Linked DNA regions of Neodiprion lecontei. The protein of the gene in region 1 purifies or fractionates together with the protein of each later gene. This does not show direct contact. Links are inferred from orthologs where the notes say so. Each region holds a gene or a part of one and is shown in the gene's direction. Other genes may lie near its edges.

Evidence for each region. Proteins that work in one complex are often made in the same cells at the same time.
Region 2: the proteins of transcriptional coactivator yorkie (region 1) and 60S ribosomal protein L18 purify together in Homo sapiens (affinity purification with mass spectrometry, with the first as the bait; 4 studies listed by BioGRID). This does not show direct contact. The link is inferred for Neodiprion lecontei from reciprocal best matches to the Homo sapiens genes YAP1 and RPL18.
Region 3: the proteins of transcriptional coactivator yorkie (region 1) and cyclic AMP-responsive element-binding protein 1 purify together in Homo sapiens (affinity purification with western blotting, with the first as the bait; 3 studies listed by BioGRID). This does not show direct contact. The link is inferred for Neodiprion lecontei from reciprocal best matches to the Homo sapiens genes YAP1 and CREB1.
Region 4: the proteins of transcriptional coactivator yorkie (region 1) and transitional endoplasmic reticulum ATPase TER94 purify together in Homo sapiens (affinity purification with mass spectrometry, with the first as the bait; 3 studies listed by BioGRID). This does not show direct contact. The link is inferred for Neodiprion lecontei from reciprocal best matches to the Homo sapiens genes YAP1 and VCP.

What each region holds. Positions count from the first base shown.
Region 1 is NC_060261.1:34,667,088-34,672,667, forward strand, and holds the start of transcriptional coactivator yorkie, read left to right. Parts: upstream 1-2,220; 5' UTR 2,221-3,697; intron 3,698-5,580. Other genes in the region: serine/threonine-protein kinase 3, read right to left, coding at 1-142, 252-332, 535-656. UniProt on the Homo sapiens protein: Transcriptional regulator with dual roles as a coactivator and corepressor. Critical downstream regulatory target in the Hippo signaling pathway, crucial for organ size control and tumor suppression by restricting proliferation and promoting apoptosis.
Region 2 is NC_060264.1:27,197,421-27,202,597, forward strand, and holds 60S ribosomal protein L18, read left to right. Parts: upstream 1-1,945; 5' UTR 1,946-2,090; coding exon 2,091-2,093; intron 2,094-2,221; coding exon 2,222-2,308; intron 2,309-3,423; coding exon 3,424-3,630; intron 3,631-3,964; coding exon 3,965-4,234; 3' UTR 4,235-4,391; downstream 4,392-5,177. Other genes in the region: thioredoxin-like protein 1, read right to left, coding at 4,548-4,565, 4,683-4,914.
Region 3 is NC_060264.1:3,829,740-3,835,045, reverse strand, and holds the start of cyclic AMP-responsive element-binding protein 1, read left to right. Parts: upstream 1-2,020; 5' UTR 2,021-2,296; intron 2,297-2,379; exon of another isoform or gene 2,380-2,394; 5' UTR 2,395-2,434; intron 2,435-2,820; exon of another isoform or gene 2,821-3,109; intron 3,110-3,331; 5' UTR 3,332-3,350; coding exon 3,351-3,530; intron 3,531-4,649; coding exon 4,650-4,799; intron 4,800-4,916; coding exon 4,917-5,043; intron 5,044-5,306.
Region 4 is NC_060264.1:28,581,595-28,586,942, forward strand, and holds the start of transitional endoplasmic reticulum ATPase TER94, read left to right. Parts: upstream 1-2,062; 5' UTR 2,063-2,195; coding exon 2,196-2,212; intron 2,213-3,738; coding exon 3,739-4,098; intron 4,099-4,177; coding exon 4,178-4,370; intron 4,371-4,581; coding exon 4,582-4,816; intron 4,817-4,947; coding exon 4,948-5,081; intron 5,082-5,348. UniProt on the Homo sapiens protein: Necessary for the fragmentation of Golgi stacks during mitosis and for their reassembly after mitosis. Involved in the formation of the transitional endoplasmic reticulum (tER).

The sequences.
Region 1 (5,580 bases):
CACTACATACGGTGAATCGCATTGCTGCATTATTGAAATCTCCTTTATTATCTCCTGTAAATCCGTATCCACAGGTACTTGCTTGATCGCAAGCACCTGCCCGCTCTCTTTGTGCAATGCTTTATAAACGGAACCATAAGATCTGAAACAAACATTGAGCCATATCTTAAAAGACATCCAAATTATACTAAATTAGTATGGCACACTAATAATTAGATTACTAAGTAGAATTCTCTCAAAGTAACGCTCACCCTTCACCAAGCTTGCAGATTATGTCAAAAACCTCTTCGGGTTGTCGTGTCAAGCTTTCCTCGGATAACTTTTTCAACTCACTGTAAAGGTAGAAGGAATTTTTTAGCGTCTGTTCAAAATTTTAATCTCTCTGATTGTAAGATGGCTTTGTCATATTGTTTCTAAAAATAAAGTAATCCAATGTCATGTTTGACAGACATAGAGGTTGGACTTAAATCAAAGGTGGTTCATTAGAGATTGGAATGACGTATTGTAAATATTTGACAAGATTTGCGTACATACTATCTGTTTGCAAAACCTGAGAAGTAAAATAAAGATTGACCCAAAGGCAAGTTTGGAGTGGGAATATATTTTTCCGTTAGTTCATTCCTTGAGAGAATGGACCTTGGAGTCAGACTAGACATGTATGAAATTCATTAATGCAACTTAATCGGTTGAAGAACATAACAAATATATTGTGAACGGAGTAAGCAATGAAGAGTAGTTTACAGTGACAAAGGTTAACAAAGAAAGAAAACAATTTTAGGTTTTCGATAGTACTGTTATTGCTAATTTGTAAATATGTAATTTTCGAGTGAAATGGAGATTGTTTGGAATAATTTACAGCTTAACTGTCTTTCTAATTATTGTTTTGAATCGTCGGCATCATTTCGAAAATTGGAACTATTTTGACGCATACATATAAGGGTAGGATTCATTCGGGTCCAGATAAAAAAAAGGAAAACAATTAAATAAATATACATATATACCTTTTAGAAGACATCTTCGTTTTTACGTCAGTCTAATATTAACTTGGATAAAAAAAAAAGAACACACATTCACTACGCAAATAACGAACTAATACGTCAAAAATACACTATACGTTGATAATAAAATCATATTCAATTCAAATAACTAATATTACATTTTTTGACAATAAAATTAATTTTAACCACAACTGAAATATCGAAACCCTTGATCAAGACGTCCATAGACTTTCAACTCTTATTTGTCTGTAACCGAAGCAAATATATATTTATTGACTAGCTGTATAGTTAGACTGCCTTAGTTCATTATAACTCCGACTGATGTCAGAGTGAGGGGCCGAATAATTACTTCAGTCAAAGTTTCAAACGTTTCAAGCGTTTCAATCGAGCATTTTACAGTCGAAAGGTCTTTACAACTCATTATCTTTAATCACAGCTACCGTATGAAGGAAAATTAATCAATTATGAAACACATTAATCATCGATATTCTTGCAAGTAACAATCGGAGACTTTTTATCTGTGCCTAAATAAGAGTGGCTTTTCACACGGTATTATTCTCATCCTGAATAACGGTACAGAGGATAGCCTACGAGGGAAGAGAAAGAAGAAAAACAGAATTACGATGCCAATTAAGACCGATGTTACCGTGATGCAAAAATCGGTTACGTCTGATCATATTCTATTTCTCCCTAGATGCCCTGTTCGATTTCAACGTTCACGGATATATCTCCAAATATCAAAGGCCACGTATCTCGAAAACGAAAAAATACTTAATAGCCTTATTTTATACACAGTTCTGAACAAAAACAGTCCTAGACATTTTTCATTTGACGCAGAAATAAAGAAATGGCCCAGATTCTACGAAATCGAACAGTCAAATCGTAGAATTCATACCATATATTTCTTTATTTCTGCATCAAATGAAAATGTATTGGAGTGTTTTTGTTCGAAATAGCGTACAAAATAGGGCTGTTAATCCTTCGTTCGTGTGTGAGATAGGTGGACTTTGATATTTAGATCAGAACCTATGTTCAACTCGTCAGCTTTCGAACATTGTAATTGTTGCAAACAAGCGTTCGATTATCTCTCTTCCAAATCATGGATTTTCGAAACTCCCGCGTCTACGAGTCCGAAGTGAGCGGTGTATCGTTTAACGGGCAGGCTAGCAGGCGAGCACGTAAGCCTCTCGTCGGAAATCCAAACTACTCTCGGCGAGCCAGCCGTGATCAGTGTGCGTGCGGTGCTCGTAGAGTATGGCGGTAGGGTTTAGAGGAGGTAGCGTTGTCGGGGCGATCGCGATCCATCGTATGTGCCGCGTAGGAATTAGTGACCTGCAGCAGGAGGGTTGTAACAAGCAAGTGTGTATTCCCTGAATGATAAAACGGGGACCGTTCCTAGCGTTGTGCGGTTGACAAAGAAAAGTTGAATCGTGAAGTAAGCGGTTCAATCGGACTACAGTTGTATCAAGACATCTGAACGATGTTCACAGTTCCGCTGGATCGATAACAACAATGGAATTACTTGTTATCGCGTAAGAAAGAGAATGTGCGTGCGCGCGCTGCCGCTGCTCCTGGTGCTGCTGCTGCTACCCATCGTCGTCGATTCCTCCGCGGTCACCACACTACAATCACGCTAGCAACGCCGCTACCTCCACCTCCTCACCAACACGACGATAGATCCTTATGTACCTACCCACCTACGTACGTACATATATTCCCCTCCACCTAAAATCTTGAAGAAAAAGCAACAGGCCAGGCCAGGCCACACGCCTTGCCTGGGCACGGCGTTTCAGCGACGCGGCGCATAGTTAAGATCCAGACTGGTGTCTGTCTCTTCTTGTGCGCGGCACTGTGTCTTGATCGGTCGGACAGTCGGTCGGTCGGTCGGTCGGTCCTCCGGTCGGAGACGGTCGTCTCTTGTTTTGCCCCTCTTCCTCCGCCTAGCCTCTTTATGCGTAGCAGTAGTATTAGTAATAGACGTAGTTTAATTATTCACCGGTGTATCAACAGATCTAGTGCATCGTTCCTCGTCTCCCTCGGAGTTCGTCCTGATTTAAACAACTATCGCAAAGTATCGCCGCTGTCGAGGAACCAGGGAGAGCGAGCTGAAGTGTCGGGTGTTTATCGAAGTGCCTTTTTAAAACACAGTGCCGTGGCTAAATAACGTACATCATATACACAACCGTAGATACATACGTATACAAATATATATTATATATACATATACACAAACACACTCACACCTATCTGTATACACATATTTTACAAATACTATATTTCCCCGTGTATGCGTGTTTATACGTGCACACGCGCGCCTATGTACGTACGTATGCATATGCCGTGTTGTTATTATTATTACATGTATGCACAACCGTGTGTGCCTTGTGTGTTGAATAAATAGTTGAAGACGAAAATAGTAGTGTACCACACATACACGTTAACTAGAGATGGAGCGATAGAGAGAGAGAGAGCGTTGACTGAAGACTATAAAGACAGTACCCCTGGGTAAATTTTTGTGTATCAGTTTTCGGCGGGCAAGTGGGCCCAGGTGGGCCTGGGAGCGTAGGAGGTTTCTGCTCTATCGACTCTACCTAACGGACTTGTACCGACATTCGTAGCAGCCAAGGTAGTGTCGGTATGGAAGCTTGAAATTGAGACGGTACGAAGTGAGTACGTAAAACTACGTACCGATTGTAAATGTTAGTACCATGTCTTTATCGACACAGTCATTATTTTATTCCAATAATACGGATATGCCTTTTCAATGCGACATAATTTTCCTAAAATCGCTTGCCCTTATTTCTCTGTATTCGACCAAAATGTCTTGCAGAATTAAATACATTGAATTAATTGGAGACATGAAAAATTTTCATAATTATCGAAATAATTATATTTGTTAATCATTATATAAGAACAACAGTTTCGATTCCTGGCTCCGTCGTTAATTTTTCAAATCACTAAAAATTTTCGAATTTACATTCTCTAGCATTTTTCTTCTCGCTAAAATAGCTATATGACGTATTTTCATATCACTTCATAGACGGCCGGGACCGTCTTACGTGGCTTTATAATTGTGCTTTTTGAGACGAGTTTCATAATATATACTTATTATTAGTTCCTTATTCATCTGAATTGTTGATATAAAAGATCATGCAATAAGTTGAGACGTAAATACTTGAAACTTATAATTCTGATTACTGTTTTGTATATTGATGACGTACGTTGTGTTGTCAGTTATTAGCTACTAGTTTGCTCACGAGTATTTCCAGGGGATGCCACGGGGAGGCCAACTGACATTACCCCCCATAGGTCGATCAGCTCGATCATTCCCGCGAGGAGACGCGAAACCGCGACTTGGTCGATCAGAAAAAATAGCCGAAATTCGAAATCAGGTTTGGGGGGGGGATTTATATTTTCTATTATAATTAATAACTCCTATCAATGTAACTAATTCAGATTTTAAATCGCGATTATCTCGGGAACGGTGATAGATACGGCAAAACTAACGAAATTTTGGAGGTTTCCTAGAAGGGAACTTGAATCGGGCAGGTAATTAGTCCGTTCTAAGGACTTCCCTGGATTCTTATTTTTTAATTTTAATTTGATTCTAATTTTCGAATCTAAAATCGCGAATATCTCGAGAACGGTGTTACGTGGGGGTGAAAGTGTACCGAGCGGTGGTAATTAATGATTAATGAATAATCAAAGATGCTCCCACGTAACGACAATGAATAAAAATTAAAACTAAGAAAGACCTACCTCTCGATAAGCCAGTAATTTGTAGGATCGTGTGGCTATAGTCCTGTACAGGTCTGTGAGGCTTGTTCAAATTGTTGAGGCTAATTTATAATAATGAAAATGGGAAAAGGTCGTTTAAAATAAATGGTTTGAAATGATTTAACTGGTAAAAGATAAAGTATATTCTGCAACGATTCGGTGATTGAAATGTTTGGTAACAATGAATGACGATAATGACGTAGAAGCTGAAAGTAACAATTTATAAAGTGTTTGAGTTTATACAACAATCCACGCCGACGGACGAATTTATATTAAAAATGCAGAGAAGCTGCAGAATTACTAATTTTGACCGTTTGCGTGTTTGAGCAAATCGTGTGTTATTCGATTCTAAATAATATTATTATTTGATACCAAGAACATCTATCCTGAACGATGCTTATAACTAGCTGGTCGTGATTATTTGATATCGTATCTCTCTTTTTTATAGATTATCTTAAATTTAAATTAACATGCAGTTGGTACATAGTTTATAATGATTATAAAGTGGGGCCGAGTTGAGGACTGGAGAATAACTCTCTGAATCCCCAAGGGAATTGTCTATAGCTGGACGCCAATTTTTCGTGCTGTTATTTCGAATTGTGTTCAAATCTTGGAAACAATACGTTTGATCTAATTGGGGTTAGTGAAGCTAGCCACCAACTCTAGTCTTATTTTCAAATGGATATTATAATAGTAACTTTTAATCAGAAAGGTGAAAACAAGAATTCGTTCGATGTTGGAGATTAGCACTCGGATTGTTTTATCTTTCGATGTGTTGTTGTGGTGACGAGATTCGAGAGCCGTC
Region 2 (5,177 bases), on another chromosome or scaffold:
ACAATTAATCTTATTTAATTAAGAACAATTGCCAACGTCGCGCCGTTTCAAACTCGAGTTACCGGCCGAGTTCTCGTTCAGATGTTCCGTTGTCTTTTGTTTTACTCCTCAATGGCATCTGTCATCTCAACGAAATCTCGTTACTTGCTTTATTAACAATGATATCGTTACTTGTGCGAATGAAACTTTACTCCATTATTGCATACAGAGAAACTGACGAACACGCGCACACACATTGCGAAAATATCAACGAAAAAAAAATCGAACCAGTGTTTATATCAGATAAACGGTTAGAATACGGCGCGATGGATAATAAATCCGCATAGCATTTGCACGCCGAGGAGAATTCACGATAAGATTAAACCGCCTTTTGCAAAATAAGATTGAGGCAATAATCGGTAGGCCTCGAACCTCGTTTCACGCCGTAATCCTCAATAGTGTGCGTATATACGGCACCTGCACATTCGCGTCGATAGGATGCAGCAGCGAGTGGCGAAATACCCCACGCTTCATAGTTGTCCGTTGCTCAGGTGGCAAGTGACAACCAACTCTGTCATGATTTAACCCCCGACAGCCAAAGTGTTCAGAAGTTCCTTCACCCGGACAGCACGTCGTTGTTTTCGCAACAAACCCAGCTCGAATTACAGTCGGCGACAAAGATTAGGAAGCCGCGAATATCGCGCTGTATAATAATACTTTATAAAATCGTCCACTCGAAAAACAACCGCCTTCTGTTATTCGTTTGTTTACTATTAACACGTCCTTTTTTCGACTCGGAAACCAGTCAGTCGATTGCGCGGGGCCCGCCTCGTGTGCTGCACTGCGACAGCAACACCTCGTTACACGGCTAACGGGATCCTACGCACTGATCGCCGGGTCGCTCGTATCTCTTGAAGTTGGTCTCGATACCGTCTATAGTCTCATGCCCCCCCCCCCCCACCCCCCCGCCGCCGGCGACCCTCGGAGCCCTTCGCCACTCCGGCGCCGTACGGCTGCGTACAACGAGCAGGTGTGCATGGAGGTTCCCCACTACCCACTTGCCTTTCTAAGTGTTTATGCTAATTATCAGCAATGCGAATGCACCGATTCACCGACCGCGGCATAAGTGCTTGTCGGAAAACTTGTCACAACGCTCGTTGCTGAAAGCATGCTGTCATGAGGGGGAAATGCTTGTCACAGAGTTCCAAGTTGGTTTAGAATTGTGATGCCACCTAGTTACACTCCGTTGAAACATTTTTCATTGGTGAGGTTATGGGGCGGGAAACTTTGGTACGAAAATTTTGTACTGTTACCGACCTATAAGTGCTTACACTTTTCGTATTGAAATAATGATTAATATATTGAATTATAGAATTTTTAGGTGTGCAGACTTCTGCGCCGATTGTGAGTGATGATGTATTTCTTTCAATCACTTCAATAAATCGATATATCTACGAATGAAAATTGATTCGATACTATAATTTTGGATATAATTCAGACAGTGCAAGTTATTCAGTTACCGACAATGTCCGTAACGGACCATTAAACATTTTTATAAAATAAAGTCACATGTTGGAACTGTGATTAGTTCAACCAGGTTTTGGAAGCTTCTAGTTTTGCCGTTGAGAAATTATGATAACCTTGTAAAATGCAAATATAATGTAAATACGGATTTCACAAATCTACAATTCTAATAGAATGGTGAAATGAAGGTAACGCCTCCCATTGCATACAGCGCATGAAACTGCAAAGTTAAAAAAAAGTGTCGCGCGTTCGTAAATTTGATCGTTTCAATACTTTAAATATTTGTTATAAAAATGCCTAATACTGATAACAGAATACACAGTTCAAACATGTTCTCCGTTGTGGAATTTTATTCGCTTTAAAAACACGGCAGGATAAAATAAATACCTTACCCTATGCAGTATACGGTTTTGAGAAAAATCCGATAAGTACGGATAAGTGGTGTAATTTCGAATTCTCGCGACTCGCGGCTGCGTTCAAGATTGACCGGAAAGAGTCAACAGCCAGCAGTGCTGCCATCTGTTCCACTCTCTCTTTCATCGCCGTTCACGTTAATCGGCGTCAGTTTCTTTTTCCGGTGTGTCAAAATGGTAAGATGGTGAACATATTTTGTACGCTCCACGTAATCCCTTGGCATCTGTTAAATACGGGATAATGATGACTTGTGCATAAAGTGATCCTGTAGGAGGTGTATTAATAAAATGGATTTTCTGCATAGGGTATCGACATCAACCATAAACATGACCGTAAGGTTCGGCGAACCGAGCCCAAGTCGCAGGACGTGTATCTCAGGCTTCTCGTCAAGGTATTTATTCTTTCATTTGCTTGAACATTTCACTTCTCCTCATTATTTGCCTGCATCAATTCAAAAACACTTCCAAACTTCGAAATTTTCAAGTCTGATAGGATTTTTTACATAAGATCTTTCAGCTTTCAAGCTGTGCTAGGTTAGGTTAAGTTTTAATTGGTTGACCGTTTCACGGCTGTTTATTCCTTGCCGAAAACACGTGTTCAACACCAATTTATGAAGCGATCCAATTCAAGAATTGCACATTTCTACAATTTTCCGTGAACAAACTTATTTATCGATTGCGTGCCAACGCCAATATGATATCCGATTTGTCTGTCAGAAAATTCTATATTTTTTTTGCAAACTAACCTTCAGCAGTTGTGTGGTTGTTATGTTCCACTCTGTCGAGCTGTTTTCCGGTTTGTTTCCACATTTTTGATGTTTCGCATTATCTTAGGTGGTCGCAACACCGTGACTATGTTATATCTGACTTCATATAAGATAGTAGGTCCTGACAACCGTGATTTGACTGCGATGTATTACTACCGCTTATATTCTAAAGTTTTACTACGTTTAATGTGGTAATTATCACATTTGATGAAACCCAAAAGACAAGTAAAGAAAGAAAGAAAATTATCATTTCTTGTTGAGTAAGTGTAATAAATTGATTACTATCATAATTGCATGTGATAATAAAGGTTATAACAGTAAAAAGATGTACACATATAGCAGATTTCTATTGGAAAGAGACCTGATGTTATTTGAAAAATGAGAGATGTATCATTTCGTATTTGCTTGCAGCGTTGATGGTAAATTAAATATTATCTGATCCGATGTTTGAAAAAATTAAATTTCACCATTGTGATGTCAATTATTACAAAAAAGTATATCTATAACTTGTTGCGAACTGCACTCTGTGTCAGTTTATTCATAAGCTGGTTCAATTTGAACGTTCGCTAGAGAAAACGAAGGAATCGATTTTCCTATTCAGACTTTTGGCTTCCTGTTGTCAAAAGTTCCTTATAAAGGTCGATACAAAATGTAAGTTTTTTTTTTTCAAATGAATTGCTGAAATGCAATATATTACCAAATGGACAATGCTGATAGTTTCATGCAATATCCTTTCGCAGTTGTACCGCTTCTTGGCCAGGCGTACTACTTCCAAGTTCAATAAGATCATCCTCAAGCGTTTGTTTATGAGCAAAATCAACCGTCCGCCGATTTCACTGGCTCGTATTATCAGGTTCATGAAGAAAGAGGGTCGTGCTAACCGAATCGCAGTCATCGTTGGAACTGTCACTGATGATGCCAGAATTTTGGAAGTACCCAAATTGACGGTAAACTGATATTTTTTCGATTCAATTCTTGGTGATAAATTTGTTAATTTGCAGGCAATCCATGTTTCGACATTATTTTTCATCTTTTTTCTTGTTATTGTTCTAAGTTAGTTATTGCGATTTAATATTCAATTCTCTGTTTCTGAGTTTTCCTTCAAAGTTTGTACTATTACGTCAACCCGATACAATTTTAACAGAAAATCCCTTTATTCAGGACTTTTGCAGGATCTCGTTCGAAAAGAATAGCTGCCTGTTGTAATTGCGCAAAACACCGAACTGTAATTTATAATCTATCATTTACTTGGCCCTCATTAAATTCGGTCAATTTCGGTAGGTATGCGCACTCCGTGTTACTGCAAAAGCGCGAGGACGTATCTTGAAGGCTGGCGGAGAGTTGATAACTTTTGATCAACTGGCGCTACGTTCACCGACTGGAAAGAACACAGTTTTGATGCAGGGACGCAGGAATGCTCGTGAAGCAGTCAAACACTTCGGGCCAGCACCCGGAGTGCCACATTCTCACACTAAGCCACTTGTACGCTCAAAGGGACGTAAGTTTGAACGTGCCAGGGGACGCAGGCGTAGCTGCGGTTACAAGAAGTAAACCATCCTACTTCGCCGTCGTTTTTTTTTCGCCATCAGTACACGACTTTTACGTATAGATATTCATTTAATACTTCAATACCTTGATTGTGTATCGATTGTGTCGTACTTTGGTACAAGGGAATGGTGCGAAATAAATGTCGGTATTTAAAAACTAACAAACCTGCGGTTTTCTGTATTATTAATTCCTCATTTACCTTCCAATATTTTGATACAATTTTATTCATCAATTCTTGTAACTATTTCTATTACTGGTTAAAACTTAACAAATACCTTAAAATCCTAGAATCTCGCCATCAGCTTCGCTCGTTTATTTACGATCCGGCAGGATTCTGGCCAAAAATAAATTCATTAGATCATCATTCCGCACTTGTAAGCACGCATTTCAAATGAGGTATAAACAATTTTGGAACAAAGGAAATGAACAATGGTGTTATTGTTAGACTGACCGCTTCGGGTGTTTCAGTGGCCTCTGTTTGTCCTTCCGGGTTCTCTTCCCCTTCAAGGTTCTCTTCATCGTCAGACGGCACTTCTTCAACGAGACCTGGAGCCGGAAAGTAAACCGCAGTTTCGTCGACGGCCTTTTCGGGGCTCTCGCTAACGTGATAAGGTCCGATCCCCGCAAAAGCCAAAAAAGATTCGCTGTCTATCTTTTTAACGACGCAAACGAATACTTCGTACCTAAAACATCGTTGTTCAGCCCACTATTGATCGATGCTTCACGATTTTAACTATCAGTTTCAATTCTCATTGTACAAATTTCGGAAGTCTGTTAGTAGTGACATTTGTGAAAACGGGAAGGAACCAAATTTTAATCGTAATTCAGTTTAACAGGAGTTTCGTAAATTTCAATCGAACCTCGTAAAATTTGCAACATCTATTTGTTATCTTTCCAGTTTCGTTGAAACTTGTAGGGTAGGAAAGACTTTCGAATTGAGCACTGA
Region 3 (5,306 bases), on another chromosome or scaffold:
CTGGTTACTGAATATAACAAGTTTAAACTACATGCTATCTAATCAAAACTGTGATTAGATTGAAATTATAATATCGTAAAGGATGTAAGGATATAAAAAATAATTAATAAAGGAGTTTGTTAACTATTGTATAAAATTGTTTATTATCTTCGCTATGCGGTTTTTAATCAGATAACGTTGTATTAATTACCACATGAATGAATCACAATCGCTAGCGTATATTTTATTAAGAGAGTAATGATCATTTGCTACATCAGATCATTACATTTACGATCGAATTCGGGATTCGCGTTATTACCATGCTTTGTAATAAGCGTACTTATATCAAAATGTCTACGATTTTACGTAACGTTTCGGTATCAATAAATGCGATAAGAAAATGAATATGCTCGTTTGACTCGTTGTATTACGTCATCGCTTCTCCACTCTCCTTTTAAGCGAAATTAAATAAATTCCTAGCAAATATGATCACAGCACGCGAATTGAATAATACGTTTACGTATGGAATTTTATTCTTATAAAGTAAAGTTTAAAAATGATATTCAAAAATTGAACAATATTTGTTAGCGATATATTTTTATATATAATTTTCCGTATTTTTTTTCGAATATGCAGCGATTTATTCATAACATAGTAATGTAGGTTTACTTATCAACGAATTATTTTTTTCTATTCATTGGTTTGGACTTGTGTTACGAGAAAATAATAAAACGCTCGATCGCGCATATTTCGTTACACCTTTGAATGTGAACAACGACCAGGCATATCCGCATCAGACGGCATGAGTCACTTTCCGATGACGTCATTGCGTCCTACAGACCACTTGCAGAGTTACGTTTGTGGCATTCGAGACCCATTTTAATAGTGTGTACAGTAGTTATTTAAAACATATTTAGCAGTAATATAATTATTTTATACAAAAACAATTTTTCGATTAATTGAAATTTTCGCAACCCGACTGCATTAATTACGGCAACGCGGCCAATCAACGGATCTGAATAATATTGTAAACAAAGACAAATGTGTTTAAAAATATACACAAGTATATAAGATATAATATTGATCAGAACCGCTTGAAATATTTATTTATTTTGTTCATTATAAAGACAATCAACAGTAAATTCCTCAATTATTATAATTACAATTGAACTCATAGTGTGGAACACTCGCAAGCGAGATTGTGCGGAGTGGCTGCCCGCGCATTTATTTATAATGGATATTCGAGTGGAAATTTCCACCAATTTGTTATCGCAGGAAAATGATTTGGGATATTTATAAGAAAGGCATTATCGTCGTAGCGAGGAAACAAGCAAAATATGTATATTGTACACACGGACAGGATTCACACGTGAATGCGCGCGTGCGTGCGTACACGTGTCCGTAAAATGCGTGAGCCTCGCGAGCTGTGATCACGGTCATATGAAAGTAATACAAGTGTAGAATGACGTCATTGGATGACGTCAGCGCAACCCTACCACGATTTGTAAGTTATATGCGAAGACGAGGGCGAGGGTGACGAGGGTCACTGCGCGTAGACAAACACGTATACTTACCCATGTGCTAAGAATCGCGTTTAAAGAGCATACAATTAACAAGAAATCATAGAAATTACTGAAAACGCTTTGATCGGTGGGTAGCACCGAGACTGATTAATGTCTGTAAATTTTACGAGCGCTCATCCGCGTTCTTTAGTAAACTGACCTATGAAAGTACTTTGCGATTTCTTTGATATTTCGGTAGACGCCGTCCATATTTATGACATAATAATTGACTCATTGGATGTATATTTCTCGGTTGCGAATTCTCATCGAGTATTTTCGATTTGTTGGCTCTTGAAAACGCACATTTAAAACAATAACACTAAGACGACGGTATTGAGCAATAGCGTGGTGATTGTGCTAATTTGGACTCCCGCGTTACCGTTCGCCGAAGAAAAGTAGTTCTGCCAAGCTTGGTTATCAACGGATAATTATGAAATTGTATGATCTGGGTTTTTTTTTTTAAGGACATAAATTACTAATAATATCTTCGATTCTACTGCTCGAAGACGGTTGTTCGTTAACGAGCACATAATTCCGTAATTAATAAAGAAGAAAAGTGATCAAGCGGTTCGGCATTCACCATTCGCCATTACGCGCGCGGAGTTATACAGGCGCCATTTTGATCGTGACGCGAAGTTCACTCGTCGTGAGCTCCACCAGTGACGAAGCCACTGGAGTTTTGACGTGGCTGCTACGTACTTGCCCGTTTGCCCACTCCGATTGCAGCAAAGTTGGTGACGAGGAATACGTAACTGGTAAGTACTCAGCTGGAGAATAATAACAACCGAGCATGGACCACCGTTATTGCGATAGACCCGAAATGCTCATTGGATGTTAGCATTTTATTTTACAGCCTTAAATAAGGGATAGTTGAGTGTCTACAGTGTATAAAGGTACAAAATATGGCGTCTCGAGATACATGTTTGTATATGTAATTCTTTAAAACCATACCCGCTACTACGCGATACACGTCGTTATACTCGACCGTTAGAAAACGATCCTTTTGCTGTGTGTTACGATTTTATATTACTCTTGTCACATCTCACGCGATTGTTTACTCATTGCTTCGTCGCGGATGAAGAATGATGAAAAAGAAACATTCTCAATAAACATCATTTTATATTCTTCATTTATTTATTTTTAGCCCTCTTTGATGTAAATGACGCAGTAGCATTGGAGGAATTTTACGCGGCGGGAAAAAGGCACACGTTTCAAAACTTCACTTTAAATGGCAGCTTCATTTAAAAAATATGTGCAAATTACACTTGCACAAATGTCATTTACACTGTTGATTGTTGTCGTCAAATGATGAAGGACTTTCTTTTTCAGTCTTTTAATCATTATACTATAATTTAAGCTTTTACTAATAGTTTACATTACCCTGTTTTAACAAGAACAAGAATATATCATTCAACACAAATAATCTGGTTTTACCAAGTTACACATGTCAATATTTTCTGCCAAACATCAGTGACGATAGTGTGCTGCTTATCTAAGTGGATGCGGTTTTTAAGTTTTGTTATACATCCGCCCGTGTTGATATATTCAAGATTCCAAGATCGAAAGTAGTAAGACAATTATATTATATTTTCACAGCTTTTCCTTTTGTTTTCGTGTTTCTTTTTCTTTTCTTTTTTTTTTTTATTTTACATCAACTACATGTATATTGAAGCTTATGATTGATTTCGTCGAATGTAATGTAAGAAAAATATTTGTTTTGTGTGACGTCCAGCCTTATATATTTCTATGTCACAATTGATCGAAACTAATAAGCGTAAATTGAATTTCAGGGCTAGCGGTCCCCAGGCTATGGAAAGTATGGTTGAAGAAAACGGATCTACCGTTGACCCGTTGTCGCAGGGATCTCAGAGTGGAGATGCTGCACCTGCGATAGCAACATCGGTACAATCTTTGAGTAGATCCCAGCACCATCTGGTGGCTTCGACCAGCATTGTGCAACTGACGCTTCCTTTATCAGGGACAACGCAGGTATACAGGACACGCTCCTGTGTATCCATGCCTGATTGATTAATTTATCAAAACCAAATTCCTTCTTTTTTTCTCTGCGGTTACTTATTTGTTATCTTCATACTCTCAAGGCATGTTTACCGCGATACCTAATTCGTTATTTACTCTGCTTCGTTATTTTATAATTACACGTTCATATATTTTCACTGTACTTCACGAGTAGTAGGTATTAGATACATTACTTCATAATTTTGCATAATGCTGGTTCGTTTTGGCCCTTGATGTTTGTACACTATTTGTTACTACTTTTTTATAAATCTTTAATTTTATTCAGGTTGAAGAAAGGAATGTAAGCGTATGATTCATCTCTTTAGTACACGATGAAAATAATATTCTCTTATTTATTTTGCAATTCTCACTTTCATTGTTATATCAATATTTGATGTTTATACCTTCAACAACGATTCATGTTAACGTAACATGTGTTTCAATGCATAATAAATTGTATTGCTAATATCTCAATTCAATCGACTTTTGATTTTCTCAGTAATCATAGTTTGAACTTTAGTTTTACTCAATGTATGTTTTACTACTGTTACGCAGTGCAACGATGTAAATCTCCAGCAAACTGATTATCTTATCACATCACCTCAAAGGGTGATCCGCACACCTGACATAGATCACTTTTGAGCGACCACCTGCGTCGTTCAAGTTTGAAAGTTAGCCGAAATAATTTACAGTAATGGCATTTCGAAATATACCATCGAAATATCTACGTGGCATGTTTCTTTTTCTAATTCTATTCAGTACATCAGTTGTATTTCGAAATGCCGGTGAGATACAAAAAATTCACTCGAAAATATCCTCCTTAAAAAAGTATATCGCCCATACACAGTTTTTCCAATGTATTATAAAACTTGTGTCTCTCGCTTGTTTCGTTTACTTATACATTGCCAAATGTATTTATCGAAAAGTACAAAATTAGTTGATGAATCTAATAGTTCTCTTTTCTCACTGTACAGGTTTTATTGTGATAGATTATTTTCGTTGAATTGCTCGCCTGTAATCAATTAATGTCTTGAGCTACTACCTCATTGATGATACTTCTGGTGACATTTATTTCTTTATCGCCATTTGCAGGTACAATCGGTGATACAGCCAAACCAGCAGTCCGTTATTCAGACTGCTACAAACATCCAGCCGGTTGCTCTTTCCAAGGCAAACGTCATTCTCGTCAGTAAGCCCAATTCAGTCATACAAACGACGCAAGGCAGCCTACAAACTTTACAGGTATGTCAGCATTTGTAACATATGATCTTCACTTATTCTATAAACGAGTAATAATTTTTTCCCAATCAATTGAATCATCGAGTATTGTTTTCTCATACCTGTTATCACTCATTCAAGGTTGTCGAAACTGGAAGTGATGACAGCTTTTCGGACGAGGAATCCCCAAAAAAGAGGAGGGATATTCTAACCAGAAGACCATCTTACAGAAAAATCCTCAACGATTTAGGCGGAGGTGAGATTGCAGGTAAATATACCTTGCTGGATTTATTTTCGTTCCAAAATAAAGATATAAATAGGGAAAGTCCATTAGTTGTATTCATATCAAGAGCACAGTTGTTTAAAGTGCAATGTATTTTATCCTTTTTATCGATATTCCAAGTTTGTATCAATTTCCGGTATGACCTGGGGGATCTTTTTGCTTTTGATATTCAAATGCTTATCAGTGTCTATAAATTCCGTCACTACTTTTCATGTATGCTAAAATAGATTTGGAAAGCTTCTAAACAA
Region 4 (5,348 bases), on another chromosome or scaffold:
GGTGTTGTCGAGACATCCTACATTTCAAAACGACAATGATATTGGCAAATAATTTTCTCTATTTGGAAGATATTTAAAATTCGCAAACCATTACTGATTGAAAATAGGTACAAAGTTCAACCAATAAAAGCTGGAATTAGTAGACTAAGAGGTTGAAAATAAAATAGTTCTGTTGCTAGTTGTAAGGATTAGAACTTAATGCGAGCAAAGATACGAGGCAAAGTGATTTTGGTTTCTTGTTGAATGAAAGGTCAAGATATAGGCAAAACCTACTTTTTATCATAGCACTTTTGTTAAATTGACGTAATATTACAACTTGTCGGAATTGATTAATGACGCATGGAGAGAAAAGTTCGAAGAAAAGGGAAGGACACGAAAATCAATGAGCTGCAATTTCTAATCCAGTTATGATTGTGTTAGAAAGGCAGCGAACAAAAGAGACGTGAATACACGGAGTCCGCTGACAAGTGTTGAGGTTATGTGTCAACCCAATGTTATTTACTCATGTTTATGATTAGTCGATTAGAATACGATTTCTGTACGTCATCTACTCGAAAGGAAGAAGATAATTGCATATATTTGATAATCGAGATATTTATCACCTTTGATTCCTGCCATTGTTTGACGCAATCCTTTTTTCAAATTATTGTTCTTGAAATCCTACTCCATTTAGGAATTATCAAGCAGCAAGATGACAGCCAAGCCCTGAATATGGCTGCAAATGACTCACCAGCTCATCCATTTTTTAAGATAACTGAAGATAAAACACTTTTGATTTGAAAACGTGGCCACATTTTTGATATTACGATGTGTTTGGGGTTTCTTATTAACAAGAATTTCTATAGTAAATTGGATCTCCTTTAGCAAGGAGTAATTCCCGCATAATATTATTTGAACACTATTATAATCCGCTGGATTAATTAATAAAATGCTTTTATAGCTCTGTTTGTAGTCGATGTGAATTTAAAAAAAATTGAAGAACAGGCTCCTCATTTCATTTACATGAAACCATCAAAATAAATCTTTGTTTATGGTGAAATTTGCTAGTATAAATTTCATACTCAAAATTTCTCGTATTTTATAGTTCTCAGATATCGGCAATTTCAAATTATAGTTATGTCAAGATTTAAGATTTTCTTGAATTTTGAATGGACGTCGGAAAGCCTCAGATTAGAATAATTTTTCGATCTATGTTCAAATTTCCAGCATTTCGATAAATCGCATCAGGTTTTACTGCAGATGTATGAGAACTGTTGAAGCTGTACCCAGTTTTCCAATATACAATAAATATGACCTGAATGGGTGCGTTTGTTTAGCTTCCCAACTAATACTTATAAAAAACGAAGCATTTAAATGACGGGTCGTTTATAAAACAACAATTGTAACCTAATGATCGTTTATGTACACACTTTACATATATACATAATACTTAGAGCATGTGTATGTATATAACACAGATACAATATGCTCATTGCTCTAACAATAAGGTATAAAATGACGTGCGGCATCAGTAACGACTGGTAATGACACTGAACTGCGTGGCTGTGACACGAAACGAGTTATAGCCAATGACTAATGATTTTTTTTTCTGTCCGCTAAGAAATTTAACGAAAGTCAACGAATGACTGATTACCGCCAGTAATTACCGCGAATTCGGTTTGCAGTCATTCCACGTATGAGACATAATAAATATGAATTTTTCTGAAGTGCTCCGGTGATTATTTGCACTGTTTTTCAGATTGTTCTATTTTTGATCAAGCACGCGTATAGGCAGATGTGTGCTTATTAAAGGTGGATATTACACGACTTATAAGATAAACCTATTAATCATATTCATCGGTTTTCAACCTCTCATGAACAGAATTACTCCGAATATGCAATATTCGATTACCGAATACTATGAAAAATGTTTAATCACAGTTTCTGAATAATCAGTTCGGGATTTCACCGGAGTAAAACAAATCCAAAAATTGCAATTGCGTTATAAAACTTGATGAAAGTTATATGACTGTGCAGAATCGAATATTGGAACAATTTGAGATGGGTTCGCGAACGCGAATAAGCGGCCATGACAGATGTGAGTGGAGGATGTTCATTGGGTTAGCTGGCTGTCTGTGACTCGTGTTAGTTGCGAAGGGGGATCGTGATTGTAACGTTTGCATTTTTTTCCCAAGTTTATTAAAAAAAAATAAGATATGAGTGATCCTAAGAGGTAAGCGTATTGAATAATACAATGGTATTAAGTCCGGTTTCAGCAGGTCGTATTTTCGATAATATGTACACGATATCATCCGATCGGTTACTATTTTTTCCAATACCCTCAATTCACGGCCTCTACGCTTCCAAATTTTACGTTGTCATCATGTCGACGCCGACTCAAGTTTAACGAATTTCTTATACTTTCTATTCTCCCAATTCGCCCGGCTCTTTGTAAAGGTATTCATTATTTCACAATACGGATTAAATTTTGGCTTATTTTCGTGCTGTTTTATACCCATTTATCTTATTTACACCTGCGGACCGTGCGGTCATGGCCGCACAGCAGGCGTAACATGACAAAGGATTTTTCGATGAAACAAAAATTTGACGTGACAAAAAATTAAGCTCAAGTGGACAGAGACTAACTAGGAAGTCATTAATACAGTTTTGGAATTCCTACGTATTTCTCATTGTCAAATTGCTCGTATATTCAATCCTGTTTCACAGTCATTATTGTTATTATTATTCCTGTTAATATTACTGTTATAATAACCTACGTTATCACAATTGCTGCAATTACTACTCGACGATCACTTTGATCATTTATTATGATAGTTAACATTTTTCAACCTTTCTGCAATTTGTCCTTAAAGGATGTATTGTATATTCACGTAGGAATAACTTTTTATTTAGTATCAAAATACCTAGAATCTTGTCTGTATATACTTGCCTTATTTCGTTTCCTACCCTGAAAGTAGAAAAGAAAAATAGACTCATATTGAATTTTTTTCTATTATCGCTCTTGGTCCCAAAATTTTTTATCTGACCTTATACTTATCTGTGTTACCATTGTGTGAGTCTCATCTCGATGATGACATGTTGTATTGAAAGTAATCAATTTTGAGTCCACTTTTTAGTCATTCTAAAATAAATTAAATTCTAAAGATCACAGAGCATCTGTTTCTCAAAACCTGTTAAAACTCGCCGATTTTGTAGTATGTTATTTAAAGTTTTTTTTTATGGCTTCAGCTATTTTCCCCACTTCTGACGCACTGATCGGAAGAAAAATCATTTCTATTTTAAACTCCATGACATGCATAAAGTATTTACTTTCAATTGCGCGATGGGATTGGAAATGTGTATTACTGATTGCTATATCTTACTGTAATTTATATTAATCATTAGAATTATTTTAGAACAATGTGCTCAAGGTAGAGAAATGAAATTCAGTTTCAAAAACTTAGAACCTATTAGGAATACAATCTCTTCATAACGGGCAGACACAAATTAAATAATAAATATACACATAATGAAATTTGATTGTAGACAAAAGTCTTAGAGTATTGAAGTATCTTGAGAATATAGTCAGTATTATGATCGGGACACCTTTCACATATTGCCATTTTTTATTCCAACTTCCAATTACGTCTGACTGTTGAAAACAATATTTGTAAAGTACGATAATATACCGAGCAATACTAAACAATCTACAAAGAATTGGCAATATTTACTTAATTTTTTACCTTACTATTATTCTAGTGGAGATGATCTCGCGACTGCGATTTTGCGCAAGAAGGACAGGCCAAACAGGCTTCTGGTGGCAGAGGCGATCAATGATGACAATTCAGTCGTCGGCCTCTCGCAGGAAAAAATGGATGAGCTACAATTGTTTCGCGGTGACACCGTACTTTTGAAAGGAAAAAGGCGCAAGGAAACCGTGTGCATCGTACTATCAGACGACACATGTCCAGATGAGAAGATACATATGAACCGTGTCGTCAGAAACAATCTGCGTGTCAGACTTAGCGACGTTGTATCCGTTCAAGCTTGCCCGGATGTTAAATATGGCAAACGTATCCATGTTCTACCCATGGACGACACTGTCGAAGGTCTTACTGGGTGAGATATTTGAAAACTTGTATACACACTTATTGGTCTGTTGGCATTCTTACTAACACAAATAATTTTTTCTTGCCAGAAATTTGTTCGAGGTGTATTTGAAACCATACTTCCTTGAGGCATATCGCCCAATCCATAAAGATGACAACTTCATCGTACGCGGAGGAATGCGCGCTGTAGAATTTAAAGTAGTTGAGACTGATCCAGGCCCGTATTGTATCGTTGCTCCAGATACAGTGATACATTGCGAGGGAGATCCAATCAAGCGAGAGGTGTGTACTTGATTTATAATTTGATTATAATGTTTTTATTGCAGATAAATTTAACTAGCTAAAGCATAATTCAATGTGTAAACATCAATGGCTACATAAAGCACTTTCTACACCCGAGTGACTTAACTTTCAATCGTCCAAGATGTTAATATTCGGTGTTAGTGCATCTTACAATGCTTCCAATTATTCTCCGTGCGCTGTCAATTCGCAGGAAGAAGAGGAAGCTCTCAATGCTGTTGGCTATGACGATATTGGTGGTGTTCGCAAGCAGTTGGCTCAAATTAAAGAAATGGTAGAGCTACCACTGCGGCACCCGTCCCTCTTCAAAGCAATCGGAGTCAAACCACCACGCGGTATATTGCTCTATGGACCACCGGGAACAGGAAAAACCCTCATTGCACGTGCAGTTGCAAACGAAACTGGCGCCTTTTTCTTCCTTATTAATGGTAATCATATTGCGAATTGGTTTATAAATGCTTTGATATAACTCTCAGCACTATTCTATGAGCATCTTTGAATGGGATTTAATGTTCAAGTCACATGCATAAAATTAAACCTTATATTCTCATATCGATAGGACCTGAGATTATGAGCAAACTTGCTGGTGAGTCCGAGAGCAATTTGCGAAAGGCGTTTGAAGAGGCTGAGAAAAATTCACCAGCCATCATATTTATCGATGAATTGGATGCTATCGCTCCCAAGCGTGAAAAGGTTAGTAAAATACTGTATTCAAACGTGATATGGACAGTTAGTGACTTTGCTCTTTTCCCTCTAAGTCTATAAATTTGGTGATGGTTCAAATACGTGTTATTGATCATAGACAAGGTGTCTACTGCTCCTGAAATATCCTTAAATCTTGGGATTATCCTGGAAAACACAAATTGCTCCTTTAGTTCTGGAAAAGTCATGAAATGTTTTGATTTATCTTGAAAAAGTTGACGTAATATATTTTTGTTTGTAACTGTGACATATCATTTG